Linked DNA regions of Drosophila melanogaster. The protein of the gene in region 2 interacts with the protein of the main gene of each other region in a pairwise test. Each region holds a gene or a part of one and is shown on either strand. Other genes may lie near its edges.

The links.
Region 1: the proteins of CG7236 (region 2) and CG5742 interact in a two-hybrid assay, tested with the Drosophila melanogaster proteins (one large-scale study listed by BioGRID).

Annotation. Positions count from the first base shown.
Region 1 is NT_033778.4:18,147,596-18,153,612, forward strand, and holds CG5742 (uncharacterized protein), read right to left. Parts: upstream 3,816-6,017; 5' UTR 3,713-3,815; coding exon 2,081-3,712; coding exon of another isoform or gene 1,955-2,080; 3' UTR 1,827-1,954; exon of another isoform or gene 1,572-1,826; 3' UTR 501-1,571; downstream 1-500. Other genes in the region: EMRE (essential MCU regulator), read right to left, coding at 1-287; adp (adipose), read left to right, coding at 4,299-5,046, 5,113-6,017.
Region 2 is NT_033779.5:5,706,246-5,714,403, reverse strand, and holds CG7236 (uncharacterized protein), read right to left. Parts: upstream 6,014-8,158; 5' UTR 5,956-6,013; coding exon 5,837-5,955; intron 4,455-5,836; exon of another isoform or gene 4,307-4,454; coding exon of another isoform or gene 4,266-4,306; intron 2,502-4,265; exon of another isoform or gene 2,365-2,501; coding exon of another isoform or gene 2,255-2,364; intron 2,167-2,254; coding exon 1,980-2,166; intron 1,923-1,979; coding exon 1,050-1,922; intron 989-1,049; coding exon 851-988; 3' UTR 613-850; downstream 1-612.

The DNA.
Region 1 (6,017 bases), on a different chromosome or scaffold from region 2:
TCGTCGTCGTCGTCATCCGCGGGCACGAACAGATCGTTCTCCTCCAGAAAGTTGGCCACGTTCTTGCTGATGGTGGCGCCCACGAAGAGTCCCGGTATGACGGCACAGAAGATGGCCAGCAGGCCGAATGGCATCTCCTCGGGCTTGGGTTTGATGGCTCCACTGCGAAAGTACACGCTGGACATGTGGCGCTGCAGGATCCTTAGGTTATGGGGGTGTTCCGCCACCCGGCGCGACACGCGCTGCAGGGCAAGGCTAATGGGAAGTGCCAGGCGTGGGACAATCATCTTGGTAGGCTTCAATTATCGCTTATTTCGTTTCAAAAACAAAATTTTGTCTCAATTTGTGCGTATTTTGTGATTCAAGCAGCTGATTCAGCCAGTAGTAGTGTTGAAAAGCGCGCACAGGCGGGAGAACACCCCCGCCGGGCAGTGTGGTGTAACGGTGAAGAACGCCCGCCCAAATTCAGTTTCAAATCCCAACGACTTCCATTTGTTTATAAATAAAACACAAATTCTCTTGGGTTTGCACATTTACAGTTTGTGTATATAATTATTTTTTTTAGAGCGTATACAATTGCTCGGTTCAATTACAGTTAGGGTGGCCACGTATAAATATAAATGTTTCAATAAATTGCCCTTACCTAGTAAAATATACTGATTTTTGCTTACATCAGAATTCTTGTGAAGATGTGTTTTGATCTAGGATTACGGTTTAAAAACAATTTCATTTGATTATCGCCTTGATTTGACCTAAATGGATTGGAGTTCTATAAACGAAATAAAAAATTGTGTCCGAATAAAAGCAAGCAATGGCAGTTATACATACATAAATACATGGTGGTGTTTAGTCATATTTTTTTTGTTTTAAAGAGGGCAAAATCACAGCAAAGCAATGCGAACCGAAACTAAATCGGTGCTAGCTGGTTTTGTTGATTAACAAATACAAAGCAAGTACAGACGCTCTTTGCAGTATAAATAATTGGCTAAGATGGAACTAAATAAATACTTGGTTACATGCGTATGTATAAATATTTATTTATAATTGATTTGTGAAGCTGCTGGTCTCAGTTTTGCGCACTTCTAAATACTTGAGACTATTGCGAGGAAAGGCGAAATGGAAATGGTTTTGCGATCGATTCTCTAGTACACATAGCCTAAGTAGAAGAAGAACGCAATTGTTTGATGAACGTTCTTCAAGCGGTTACGTGGATTCTTTTTTTTTCGATTTCGAAAACAAACATCTGTCTTCTTTCCCAGTTGACCTTAAAACTATGTATGAAATTGCACTAAACACGGAAAGGGGGTATGGACATAAATAAAATGATAAACGTTTTGCGAAACGATCGGATATTGGACAACATCTAATCACTTACAAACTAAAAACTTAGCAAATTGCTGCTGTCAACGTGGCTATCAGCAAGCAATTCTGCAGATTGGACATTTAGTTTTACCTTCGTACCGCCGCGATTATCGGCAGATACGAAAGGCAATTTGGGAAAGTGATCTTCTGGATTCCTCGCCAGTGGAGCAGCTGTTTTGGGACCGCACCCCACCAATTAGGGTGGCAATCTGAAAACACCATTTGAAGTTGATGTGATTCACTCGGGCTGTTAAAAATGACGAGCCTGTGCATAATAAATACTACTAAGTAATGACCCTTCTTGCGAAGGCGACTAAAAACAAATACAGTACATAACAAAACGTAAATGTAAAATTGCAATTTTCAGAGCGTCCAATTTGGATTTGGACCGGGAGAGTATGGGATTCACTCATGGTGAAAATTGCAATTTTGTGTGTGGGTGTTTTCCTCTTAAGCATACATACATAAACAAGCCGCCCGCGTTCGAGCTGTATCCTCCGACTTTTGCTGGAGTGATCACTAAACGCGACATGAAATGTGTGGGACAGGCGGACAGGCAGAATGAGAGGCGTGTGTCGCGGTAGACGCCTCATCAATCGAACTCCGCAATGGAGGGCGAGGACGCATTGCGATTCAAGTCGACATGAACGCCAGTCGCTGCTCCAGTCGGTCCGCCGGTTGCTGCTTTGGCCTTTGGCGCGGCTTCTCCGTCGCCTGGTCATAAGTCCTGAAAGCGACGCACATCCTCCCAATAGTGCGATGGCACCTCGAACATCTTGGCGGGGATGTTGTCGCGGAACTCGAATTTTTGGAACGTCACCTTGGCGGTCACCGTGTGCAGTACGGGTATCTCAATCTTCACGGGAAAGCCCGTCGGTAGCTTCAGCGTGACGAATTCGCGCAGCTTGTTGATGTGTTTTAGGGGTGCCACGACTTCCAGAACGTCCAGCAGCATATCCACGCTAAGTGGAAAGTCCTTGCTCATGGCTACCGTTGCTCGCAGCGTCTTGTTGGATTGCTTGTGCACGGGTGTCCGACCCAGTTGCGGGCACTTACCGACCTCCGCATCGAGATACTGTCGCCAGGTGACTGTGGGAGGCGGCGGGGCCTGCAGCGAGCTGCGACGCGGCAGCTCCGGCAGTGAGATGCCATTCGGAGCCGTTGGTGTATTGGTCTCCGGCGGCGTGGCCGTGTGCTGGCTGCCTAGACTGGAGCGACGCGTATCCGGCTGCTGGCTGGCACCCTTGGTAATAGTCTCGACAATGGCGCGGTTCTTTTGTAGATCCTCGTGTGACAGGTGTTCCCGCCTCTTACGCTGCTTCAGGATTAAGCCCTGGATGGTGTAAATTTCGCACTGGTATTGGCCCCCAATGAGCTCCTTGCGATTGGCGCGGAATATCCATCCGCGTTGCGCCCGTGCGAACTGAATCGTCTTGGTGGACATCTGGGTGGCCAGTATATCGGTCGACATGAGCACATCCACCTCATCCTCCATGTCTGATTCCTCGTATCGCAGCCGCTGAAAGCATTCCTGCTCATTGTCCAACAGAACCAGCGATTCCCTTGCCGGCGCCTCACCTCTAAACAAGAACGATATGTCCCCTCGCTCCCAACGCATATCATTGAAGTCCACCAGTGTGGTGTCCAAACGAATGGAGGCGCCCGACTTGTAAAGCCGGCAGATGTCCGAGGGCAGGATGCGGGAAACCAGTGGCAGCCATGATTGAAAATCCCACTTGAATTCCATGTAGAAGTCCTGCATCTGGCGCAGCGCATTGACCAGCTTCTCGCGCCGACTCTCCATGTGTTCGCGGGACTGCAGCTTTAGCATTCGCAGCACCTGGGTGATTGTCTGGCGGTCGCCGTAGCTAATGGCCTCGGACAGCGGGGACCAGCCCTCATTGTTCTTGATCTTTACGGGGGCGTTTTGGGCCAGAAGCAAACGGACAGCGTGCTTTCTGCCCAGCATTACGGCCAGATGGAGTGGCGTATTGCCGTGCTTATCCTTTCTACCCACTTCGTCTTGGGCCGTGCTCAATAGAAGTCGTCGCTGCAGCGACTTGATGTCGTCCTCGAAAACACTCCGGTGCATAGGAAAGTCCAGGGCCTCGGATGCTGGCTTCACAGTGGGCAGTGGCGATGCTGCCTTTGCTGTGGGCGCAACGGCGACCGTGGGGCTGGTTTTGTCAGGCGGGCGCTCCGCTGGGGAATCACCGTCACCATCGCCGTCTCCATCCTCGCCCTCACCGGCCGATTGGTACTCATCGGAATCCTCGCTCGACGTGGACTTGGCGTCCGCCGTCGCCTGCTGTTTGTGCTTGTCGCACTCGTCCTCCTTTTCTTTGGACATGTCTTAGCTTTTCAGTCAACGTCGCGTCTTCCGTGGAATTAAATAAATCAATTCGATTTTTTTAGTTTATCTGGCAGTGTTACCAGATGGTAAAACTGTTATAATCCCTCAAATGTTTTCCACCATTTTCCAGCCCTTAAAAACGGTCGGCTAGAGCGGAACTTGCAATTGGCTTACATTTTTTTACTATACGTAAAACCTGTTTTTTTTTGTTTGTTCTTTTTTTAAGCCATAATAGAGTTTAAGAGGTTTTATAAATGAATTTACGTTTGCCTTCGTAGGCGGTTTAAGTCAGTTGTGTGCTAGACTCTACTTAATCTTTCACTTCTCGGGTGTTTAAAAAAAGAAATACTTTTTCCATAACTGAAATTTGGTTGTTCGATCCCGTAAGCTAACGCAAACCGTTACGGCGATACGCGCTGGCCTGGCAACGCCGCGCACAGGTGTCAACAACAGCAAAGTTGTTGATGGAAGGGGGGCGAAGCGGGGCAGGGGAAATCAGCGAATGCAAAATGAATTAAACGGAGAACGAGACGAAAACAAACGGAAACAAGTGTCATAATCCTATCCACAGCAGTCGGAGATAATGTCGAGCGATGAACTGTATCGCGTAAAGTACTCTAGTTCGCGCTATCAGCGCCAGCACACGCCCTTGAACGCCAGCTCCTTGCATTGGCAGCGCCAGCAATACGGTCATGAGCTGGACGAGATGCTCCGGCGACGTCTGCTGGCATCGCCGGCCTACGTGGACAGGCTGGAGCAGGAGGCAGTGCTCGTCGGTCACGAGGGCTGCGTCAACTGTCTGGAGTGGACCACTGATGGTATGTGGCTGGCCTCCGGATCCGACGACTATCGTGTGATGATCTGGGATCCGTTCCGAAAGAAGCTTGTTCATGTCATCAGGACCAAGCATCTGGGCAATGTGTTCTCTGTAAAATTTCTGCCCAAGACCAACAACAGCATTGTGGCTACGTGTGCAGCGGATAAGTTCATCTACGTCTACGACATCAACGACCCGAACGAGACCCTTTTTTCTTGCATTTGCCATTTTTCTCGGGCGAAGCGCTTGGCCACCGCCCAGGACTCGCCGCACGTCTTTTGGTCGGCGGGAGAGGATGGTTGCATCCTGCAGCTAGATATACGTGAGCCACATCGCTGCCGTCCCGAGGAAGGTATTGGTGTCAGGCTCTTGAACCTGCACGATCAGTTGGAGAACACAGAGGCCAAATGTCTGGCTATAAATCCCCGAAGGACGGAATACCTGGCCGTGGGCACCAACGATCCCTTTGCCCGGGTGTACGATCGCCGCAAGCTGCCCTCCACCAACGGCAATGGTGAGTACTTGAATTTGTAGGCGCTGCAGCTCATACATATGCATATTGAACTCTTATCCCTTTAAGGTCTCTCTGCCTGCGTGGCGTACTATGCACCCGGACAGATCGTGAAAAACATCAGCCGGAACATTGTCCACGAGCCACGGGGAATCACTTATCTTACGTTCAATGGCAATGGCACAGAGCTTTTGGTCAACATAGGCTGCGAGCACGTCTACCGCTTTGATCTGAATCACGCTGAGCCTCCGGTTTTCTACGATCTGCCCGCCTTCACATCAACACTCGTTCACGAGGAGGAGCCGGTGAAGATGCCACACAGAAGTCGCTCGCTGCCAACCGAAATAGAGGTGTATAAGAAGGAGGGCAATGACTTTCTTGAGAACGGCAAACTTGTAGATGCAATTGATGCTTACTCAGCGGCTTTGGCGAAATATCCACAAGGAGAGGTCCTCTATCTGAACAGAGCGACGGCTCTAATGCGACGCGGCTGGTTTGGTGATATATATGCGGCACTTAGGGACTGCCACGAGGCCCTGCGTCTGGATCCCAGTTATGTGAAGGCCCACTTTCGGCTGGCCAGGGCATTGCTTGAGCTGCATCGACCCCAGGATGCGGATCAGTGCTTGCAGGCACTAATTCAGCGTTTCCCCGACTTCGCCAACAATCACGGCGTGCTCATGCTGAACAAGGACATCAAGGAGAATCGACGACAGTCAAAGAGCCCCGAGGCACCCGAGCTACAGCCGGTGGAAGTGGATGATGGCTTCCGCTACCTGCGTCTGAAGAACGCCGAATATGATCTCCGTTCCACGGCACGCGACTATATGCAACGCTATGTGGGCCACTGCAACGTCACGACGGACATAAAGGAGGCCAACTATTTGGGCAGCCAGGGCGAGTTCATAGCCGCTGGTTCGGATGACGGCAACATGTACATTTGGGAGGGAGACACGGGCAAGATACGCGCCGTT
Region 2 (8,158 bases):
GCGCGCTATAAGCTTCACTAATCCTTTCATCACCATCCTTTGGGGCACACGTTTCTCTGACGCTTCTTGAAGGACATCAACAAAGTCCTTGGGACACGACTAGGATACACGAAAGCCGATACGTGTCGCTGATTATCTGCCGTGTGCTTAGCACTGGATTAAGCTGCCAAAAAACGTGGTATGGACGCCAGGAGGCGATATCTGTCGACGATGAAATACTTCAGGAGCGGAGCCTCAAAAGAGGGTATCAAGCAGTTCATGTATATATATCAAAGGACTGCAAAACAGACCTTATTGAATCAAATATAAAGTAAACGAACTTATAACATTATATAATTATAAATGTTCTATTAAAAGGGCTCCGCTGTTCCCAATCCGCTCCTGGTTAAATAGATGTAAAAATGTGTAATCCAGACCAGGCTCAACAAGTAGGTGAGAGTTGGAGGTGGAATGTAACCGTTTGACTAGTCGACATGCTGCAAGGATTTTTAATTCGATGTACGTGTGTGTGCAAGGCTGAAAAGGATTCGAGCCAGGACGCAACTGGAAAGTGAATTAAAGATTAACCTGGAGTGATTTGCGAATCTCATGGACTAACGGAATTGAAAATTTATGGAATAAAACATTATGTAGCACATTTTATTTGATGACAGCTGAAAATTGCACTTTAGACTTAGTTACTAATTCAGTTCGGCCCGAAGGGATGAGTTGCCAAGTGTTTACGAACGTTCCACCCAGTGATATATTAATGGATTACTTTTACACATTTATTCCCAGCAGTAAATAAGTTAAATTTCGGGCTCAATTCTCGCTCAAGGACATTACTTCGTTACAAATTCTCTGCTCAAACTCAAATTGTGGGCAGATGATGCTCGGTGCGATGTAGCAGGTTTGCATTCTTGTTCAGGGGCTGCAGCTTCACGTAATCTTGATGCGGGTGATGATGATGCTGCGTGCTAGGCAGCAGCGGTAGTGATGTGTTTGAAGTCTGTAATCGAAAGGATATACTAATAGATTGAATTATCCTCTGAGAGGACTGCCGTACGCACCTTTGATTTATCCCGGGCCGCCGCGATGGCCGCCGCCTGAGCAGGACCCGTCTGGAGCTGCTGGGCCGCCGTGGCCAGCATGAACTGCTGGGAGGCGAGCTGCTGCTGGCGGAGATTGGCCGCCTCCAGGCTGTTGACGTGCTCCAGTTCGCGCTGCTTAGCGATGTAGTCATCGAAGTAGGAGTGCTTTGTGAGCTTCTCGCAGGACCAGCGCTTGGTCGGATCCTTGTCCAGGCACTTCTTGAGAAAGTCAATGGTCAGGGGATTCTGCTGCGACTTGGCCGGCATCTTGTCCTCCAGCGGCTCCAGCGTCGGCGGCACTGGCAGCGTGATGCCCTTAAAGTACTCGTTCTGTCCAAAGATCTGGATGTGGCGCGGCAGCAGGTCGCCGAGCGTCTTGCGGATCAGATAGAGCTGATCCACATCGCTACGTCCTGGCCAGAGGGCCTCGCCCCGGACCAGCTCGGCGAAGAGGCAACCGATGGCCCAGACGTCCACCGGAGTGCCGTACTGAGTGTCGCCCACCAGCAGCTCCGGCGCCCGGTACCATCTGGTGGCCACGTAGTCCGTGTAATTCTCGCCCGGACTGAGCATCCGGGCGAAGCCGAAGTCACACAGCTTCACCTGACCCTGGGCCGTCAGCAGAATGTTCTCCGGCTTGATGTCGCGGTGTAGGCAGCCCTGCTTGTGGCAGTAGGCCACGCCCAGCAGGGTCTGGTAGCAGATCTGTTTGGTCAGGTGCTCCGGGCAGCCCTGTGGATGCCGCTCCAGTTCGTGCAGCACGGTCAGCTCGCAGAACTCGAAGACCAGATGGAGGCGTCGCTTCCGTCGGAACACTTCTAGCAGGGAGACAAGGTTCGGATGCTTCAGGTTCTGCAGGAAATTTCGAGTGATTAAGTGATTCAAGTGATTTAAGTTATTAAGGCTTACCTTCAGTAGCCTAATTTCTCGCAGTGCAATTTTACGAATCGCTGGATCATCCTCGGACTCCACAAACCTCTTGACCGCCACCAGAGCACCCGTTTCCCGATCCCGGCACTTGTAGACCACACCGTAGGAGCCCTCGCCCAGCCGACTGAGCTTCTCATAGCGATCCATTTTGCTGCTACCTTGTGGTCTGCAAGGAAGTTAACAGGTATGAGTTATTCCGGAATTCCCACCCCGATTGCGGCTAACGTTCAGTTTGAGTTTGGAGTGGATTTTACCTTAAGCTCAAACATTGACCACGTTTGATGTTTGCACGTCGCATTGCTTTGCATTGGGCACACAAAATGTTCAAGAATTTTTCTGTTTGATACCTCAGACACGAACACATGTGGACTCACAGGGGCGAACTTGCATTCTAGGATATGCGAGCGAGTATGAAGTGATTTGATATTCGATCTGGTATTATTTCAAGGGCTGTCTTACGATTTGATGTGTATGCATATATGTACAAGTTATTATATTGAATAGGTTTGGTTTTTTTTTGGGGATGTCCAGAACATTTTGGAGGTTTGGTTTCACGAATTCGGTATGATTTGGTTAGTCGATTTCGATGGAATGAAACAAACAACAAATGAGAGAACTTTTAGAATGAGTTATTTGGTTTAAACGTTAATTTTGGTGGGCCAAAGGAACTGTTAAATAAAATGTAATAATAATAAATTAAAATGTGCCGAAGTACATCAATATAAACTTCTTCCTGCTAACTTTTTCCAATCTAAATGCAGCTATTATAGCTAATCAAATAAATCGATATTGTAAACATTCAATTGCCATTAGATACACAACCTAATCATTACTACTCTGCCATTTATAAGCACGAGAACTAAATCGATTTTTTTGACCCAAGTAAACATAACCCTATGTGGAATTGTCATTGATTTGAGTGTATGGACTAATGAATTCTAACATTTTTACACAGTTTAAGTGAAAATAAGATTAAAATAACTTATTCTGTTCATTCAGAATTGTACCATTAGTATTAGATTAGAAACCGAGGGTAATTAACTTTCTAGCGTGAACACGAAAACTAAATCGATTTTGTAGCCCCAGGTGTTCGAGAGCGTGCTCCTTTGAAATTGGCATTACCGGTCTGGTCGAGGACTTCACGGGTTGACAGTTCAATGCCAGCCACAAAACCTTAAACGGGGTAACTGAACCCTGCTTGGGCCTTTCTGCATCTTTTGCTAACATGTGTGTGGGTCATAAACATGGCATGCAATTAAATATTTGTGTGCTTATGATGGTGGTGCTGGTTGGTGGCACAAATAAATGAAAGCAACACAGGACACCGAAAACGTAGCAAGCAGATGACTTACCTAGGCACCCATCTGGCTAATATCTGACGTATTTGCCACTAGAGTTAGTAATTGAATTGTGAATGAATAGGACATATATATATATATATATATGTATTTGATTAAAGTCTTTTGGGGGAAGTCTACGATACACACCATGCGCCGAATATTCCGCCAAGCCTGTCGATCAATAAATATTTGAATGGGTAGACCGCTTGAGCGGACGTATGTTTTGTCTGACAACTGAGCACCGAATGGGGGAAACGCTAGAGCCGACCTGTGCCCCATGTCGACCAGGTCGACTCCACCCCACTGGCCAATGTCATAGCAATGCGACCAAAGTTAACAAAGCAAAAAACCACAACAAAACCAAATCCATGCGCAGTTGCCCCCAAAGTTGTTCAAGAAGTTTCTCCCCTTTGTTGTTTTTTCTAGCGACTACCGGAAGACATTCAAGGTGTGCTTCTTTCCCAGCTTTCCCAGCTCCTTTCCCACTACACATTTTGAGGTTACCTGCTGGAGTCGTCTGTCTAAGGAGAAGGCAGGGGAGTCGCTTATGAACCGGGTTCTTTGACACAGATTGCTGGAGGATTCCATATAGCTAAACTGGTGCAGCAGTGCAATAAGTTTGTCGTAACTACGCGCTACGTGGGCGCTTCGGGGGTGGATTCTATTTGGGGTCCTTATTACTAATTAATGTTTGAATCGCTGTGCAATTATAACAGTATTAGGGATGGCTTTTCCTGGCTGAATAACTTAAGTATTGCTGTGCAGCTAATTTGCTTGCCAGGGGTCACTTATTGTGTTTGCTTTTCGAAGCTGTCCAAACTTTAAAACTTTCACAGTTCACAGGCAAATAAGATAAGTTATGATGTTAATAATAAATGTTAATTTTTTTTTTTAATTTTGTTTATTTTTTTTTTTTTGCTCATACCTTCGTAGGGAAAACAATTTAGAAATCTCAAACATTTTCATTGCAGTATCGAATTTTTTCCAGTTCACCTTTTGTCTATATTTGGTTTGTTTCCGTGTTTCCTTCACTTGGGCCAAACAAAGAGCCCTATAACTTTTTGGCAGAACTACACGATGTGAAGACGTTAAGAGCCGGCAATCGACTGAGGTGCTTTTGGCTAGAAACGAGTTTGGAGAGCGACGGAGTTGGTAGCAGCTCGGTTGCATCAGCGGACATCGCACATACGCCGCGTTGGCCAATGGCGACTTTGATTCCTATGTTTTTGTTTGTTTTGGTCTTGCGTGTTTCATTAATAATGCATTTAAGTGCAGTGGAAAAACACGAAGGTGAGCGTCGAACATAAATTAGGAACCATAATCACGCATACTGTATAAGCAATATGTAAGGTATATGTATATAAAACGAATTCTTTGACCGGTGTGGTGTATTAGGTAACTAATTTCCTTGAAATTTACCTTTAAGAAGTGTATGAAAGTATAGTGACAGCACCCCACTGATTTCTGATTTGCATAATTACTGAGAACTCCCGTCGACCCCGTTCCAACTTAAACACCATCTGCTTGCCTTATACATTTGACAGCTTTTGTTTTCCGCGAAAGCACTTTAACCTTTCCCACTTTGATTTTACCTTTATTCTAGGCTCTTGTGGCTTTTAATTATATTTTTGTATTTATTGTTCTATGTAGTTGTTTGCGCATAGCAATTATTTGTTCATGTCGTTGTCATGATGTTTGCACTCAATGTTGGGGTCAATGCTTCCCAGCTTAATGGCTCTTCGTTTATTTACCATTCTGATACTGACCCCCGGTATTTGTGTGATATAGCAGCGCTAAAGTTTATTTAGTAATGGGTATTATATAAGAATGAGAGGAGAATTAAAGCACTTCTATTTAAGAAAAAGGAACATTTAGCTGGCCTTTAAAATAGATACTTAAAATTGAAATTTACTTATACGAGTTTAGCTTACTGAAGTCAGACTGAATGGTCTTTATTTTTAGAGAAACCACACATTTTTAGATGTTTAATATTCGTACTGCCTTGTGGGTTTATTTCAAGTGTCTGTACTTGCTAAAATAGCAATAATATGTCAAGTAAGTAAAGTTTTTTAGCAAAACCTCTAACATCGCCTTGTAAAGTCCCTGAACCTTTTGGCCATATAAATATTGCGGGTTGTTGGTAAGGGTTGTGTTGACGTGGCCTTTGGGAAAACAAGCGTAAAATGCAATAAATAACAAGCCATTAATGCCAAATGCTCACACACGCACCGAGTGTCCCAAACTTTGTGCGAGGTCTGTGCAAAAAGCGTTGCCTACTTACGGGGATAGCAGAGCTGAAGCGCTTGGAGGACGAAGCAGGCATATGCGTGTGAAATGAAAGGCCAAGGCCGTTGCAACACCACCTCCACCAGCAGCGACTCAAATGTCATTGGGAAAAGTTTATCCTTTCTGCCCGTTTTAGCACTGCATTTCACTTTCATTCCGCAAAAAGTTGGTAAAGCTAATTAGGGCCACGAACGGCGCTAATCGACCCACCTGTACTGCCTGGTCTCAACTAAGTCCGGCTCATTGCACACCTGGATCTTCTGAATGAGGCGGTAGAGGAAGGAGTTCTGTAACGATTGCGGCAAGTAGAACGATGAGCTGTGAAACATTGCACGTCGCCAGGCGTTCGTACGGCTGCAGGGTCTCAGGATAACTAAGTTGCACTTCGACGGTCTCTCGTCTATTTATTTTATCGATACATGATTTCAAATGCAACGGACATCATGAATACTTTATGCATGGAGCGACATTCCTTCTCAAACAGGTGCAAAAAACCGGCTCTGTTTCTGACGTGTCTCGTGCCGGCAATGCTTTTCCATATTGTTTAAGATTTTTTTGGGTCAGAAAAAATGCGGCCGGGGGAAGCCAAAGGAACATGCAAATGAGTCAGGCGCATAATGCGAGAAGTGAGAGTTGCGACGGCAGGCGAATGAGGCAGAGTTTGCCACATGCCACAGCGAGGCACACGAAATCAGTGGTGCAAGCTGGAGGGAAAAAAACGGCTTGCGGGGATTCAATTATGTAAGGTGAGGCGGGCACCTGTGAGTTTTGGCATCCACTGTGGGAATGAGAGCGACTGTCAAATGCCATGAAAGCGCCAAACAAATGTAAGTATCCTGCTGGCAAACCGAAAACGCGATTCTAATTCGCGGCTGTTGAAAAGTCCATTCACCAAAAGTGCTGATATAAGCAAAGCAGTCCCATTATAACATTTTTTGAGCACAATGAACGTTTAGATCTTGGGATCATGGCAATTCAATGTGAATAAACTTGATTAAAGTTTAAAAAACCCTTACTAATTTCACATAAATAAACTTAGGAAATGTATGAAACACATCAAATTGTTATTGCTACCAGAACAGCATGAATTGCGCTCCTTGGGTCCTGGGTCATGATCATGAACTTGTCTTGTATTATATAACTATCCATCTCCTGAAACAACTTATCAATAATTACCAAAGAAAAGTATGTGACTTGTAAAAACCTTCTCATGAACAAGTGTGCGAGTACAAGTGTTATGTATCAATCATTTGCTTACAGTCTGATGGGCAATATCTTATTCTATTTCAGTCAGATATGTATTCCAGCAAAAAAACATTTCCCTCTGTTCCTTTCGAGCAAAACGCAAGTGTCGTTGACATTTGCCGAAAATAGGGTTTTCGTCTGCTTGGATCAAAAGCATTAAAAACCGCTACATCATCCGTTCCCATAAGTATGCAATATTCCTTCAGAGCTGCTTGTCTGGCCTGTCAGAATTCGGATGGTAAGTGGGTTGATGTTGGAGACAAATCCAAGCTCCGAACGCATTTCAATGCAATTTGATGTCTCTGTACTTGATTTCATCTCTTTTCGCTTTTGTTCTTCTGCATCTTTTTTTCCGTGCACATATACTCGCATTGATTGAAATTCAATTTGATTGGAGTTTTTGTCCTTTTTGGTCCTGTGGCTTCTTGGTTAGATCTTGTGTAAGTTGAGTAGCTTTTAACTGTCAGTTTCAAAGGCGTTCAAAGAAGGTATCTAAATGTTAGTTAGAGACACACAATGTTTTCATACGATGATTACTATTTACTGTAGGGTTGGTTATTCACAAGGCCCGACGTTAAGCAAAACAATATCAGGGGCAACACTCTATCTGCGCGCCAATCTTGAAGTTCAAGTTTAGGCCAAAACAATGAAAAAATGTTTGGATAGCACTTTTTGTTACCATTCAATGCAATGCAATGCCAAGTTCGACTTACCTTCTGGGCAAAAGTGGAAGGTGGTTACCAAACAGCCAGAGACGTTTCTCTCCGAACCATTTGTCCATAGACAAGCATTTAATAACTGTTTGGAAAATTGATTTTAAAATGCCGTACTATTTCTGGAATCTCGAAAGTGATTTCCGCATCCTGCGAGCATTTAACTAAATGGATTTTCACGCGCGAGATGCGAGGCGAGTTTCGCGTCCGTTGGCGAAGAAATATTAACAAACTTTGTTTATAAGCGTAGTCCACGCCGTAAACGTAGCCGGAATTTTTATGTGCGCCGGCATTGAAAACGCCGAAGACAATGGAATGGAGTTTCCAGGGGGTGGGCTTGTTGGGGTGTTCGTGACGGTTGACATTGGCAACGCTTTGGGGCAAGAAAGCCCGGTGGGCAACGGGATGGGGATCCGAATCAGGGTTGCTCGCCTTGTATTTGGTTATTAATAGTGTTGTTATAGCGCATGCCGTTGTTTATGTTTGCATTGTCAATCTGTTGTCACTAAAAACAAACAGCAAATTTGAGCTTAGTTCACGCTTTGATTTCAAATATTTCTAGTTCAGCTTTTCC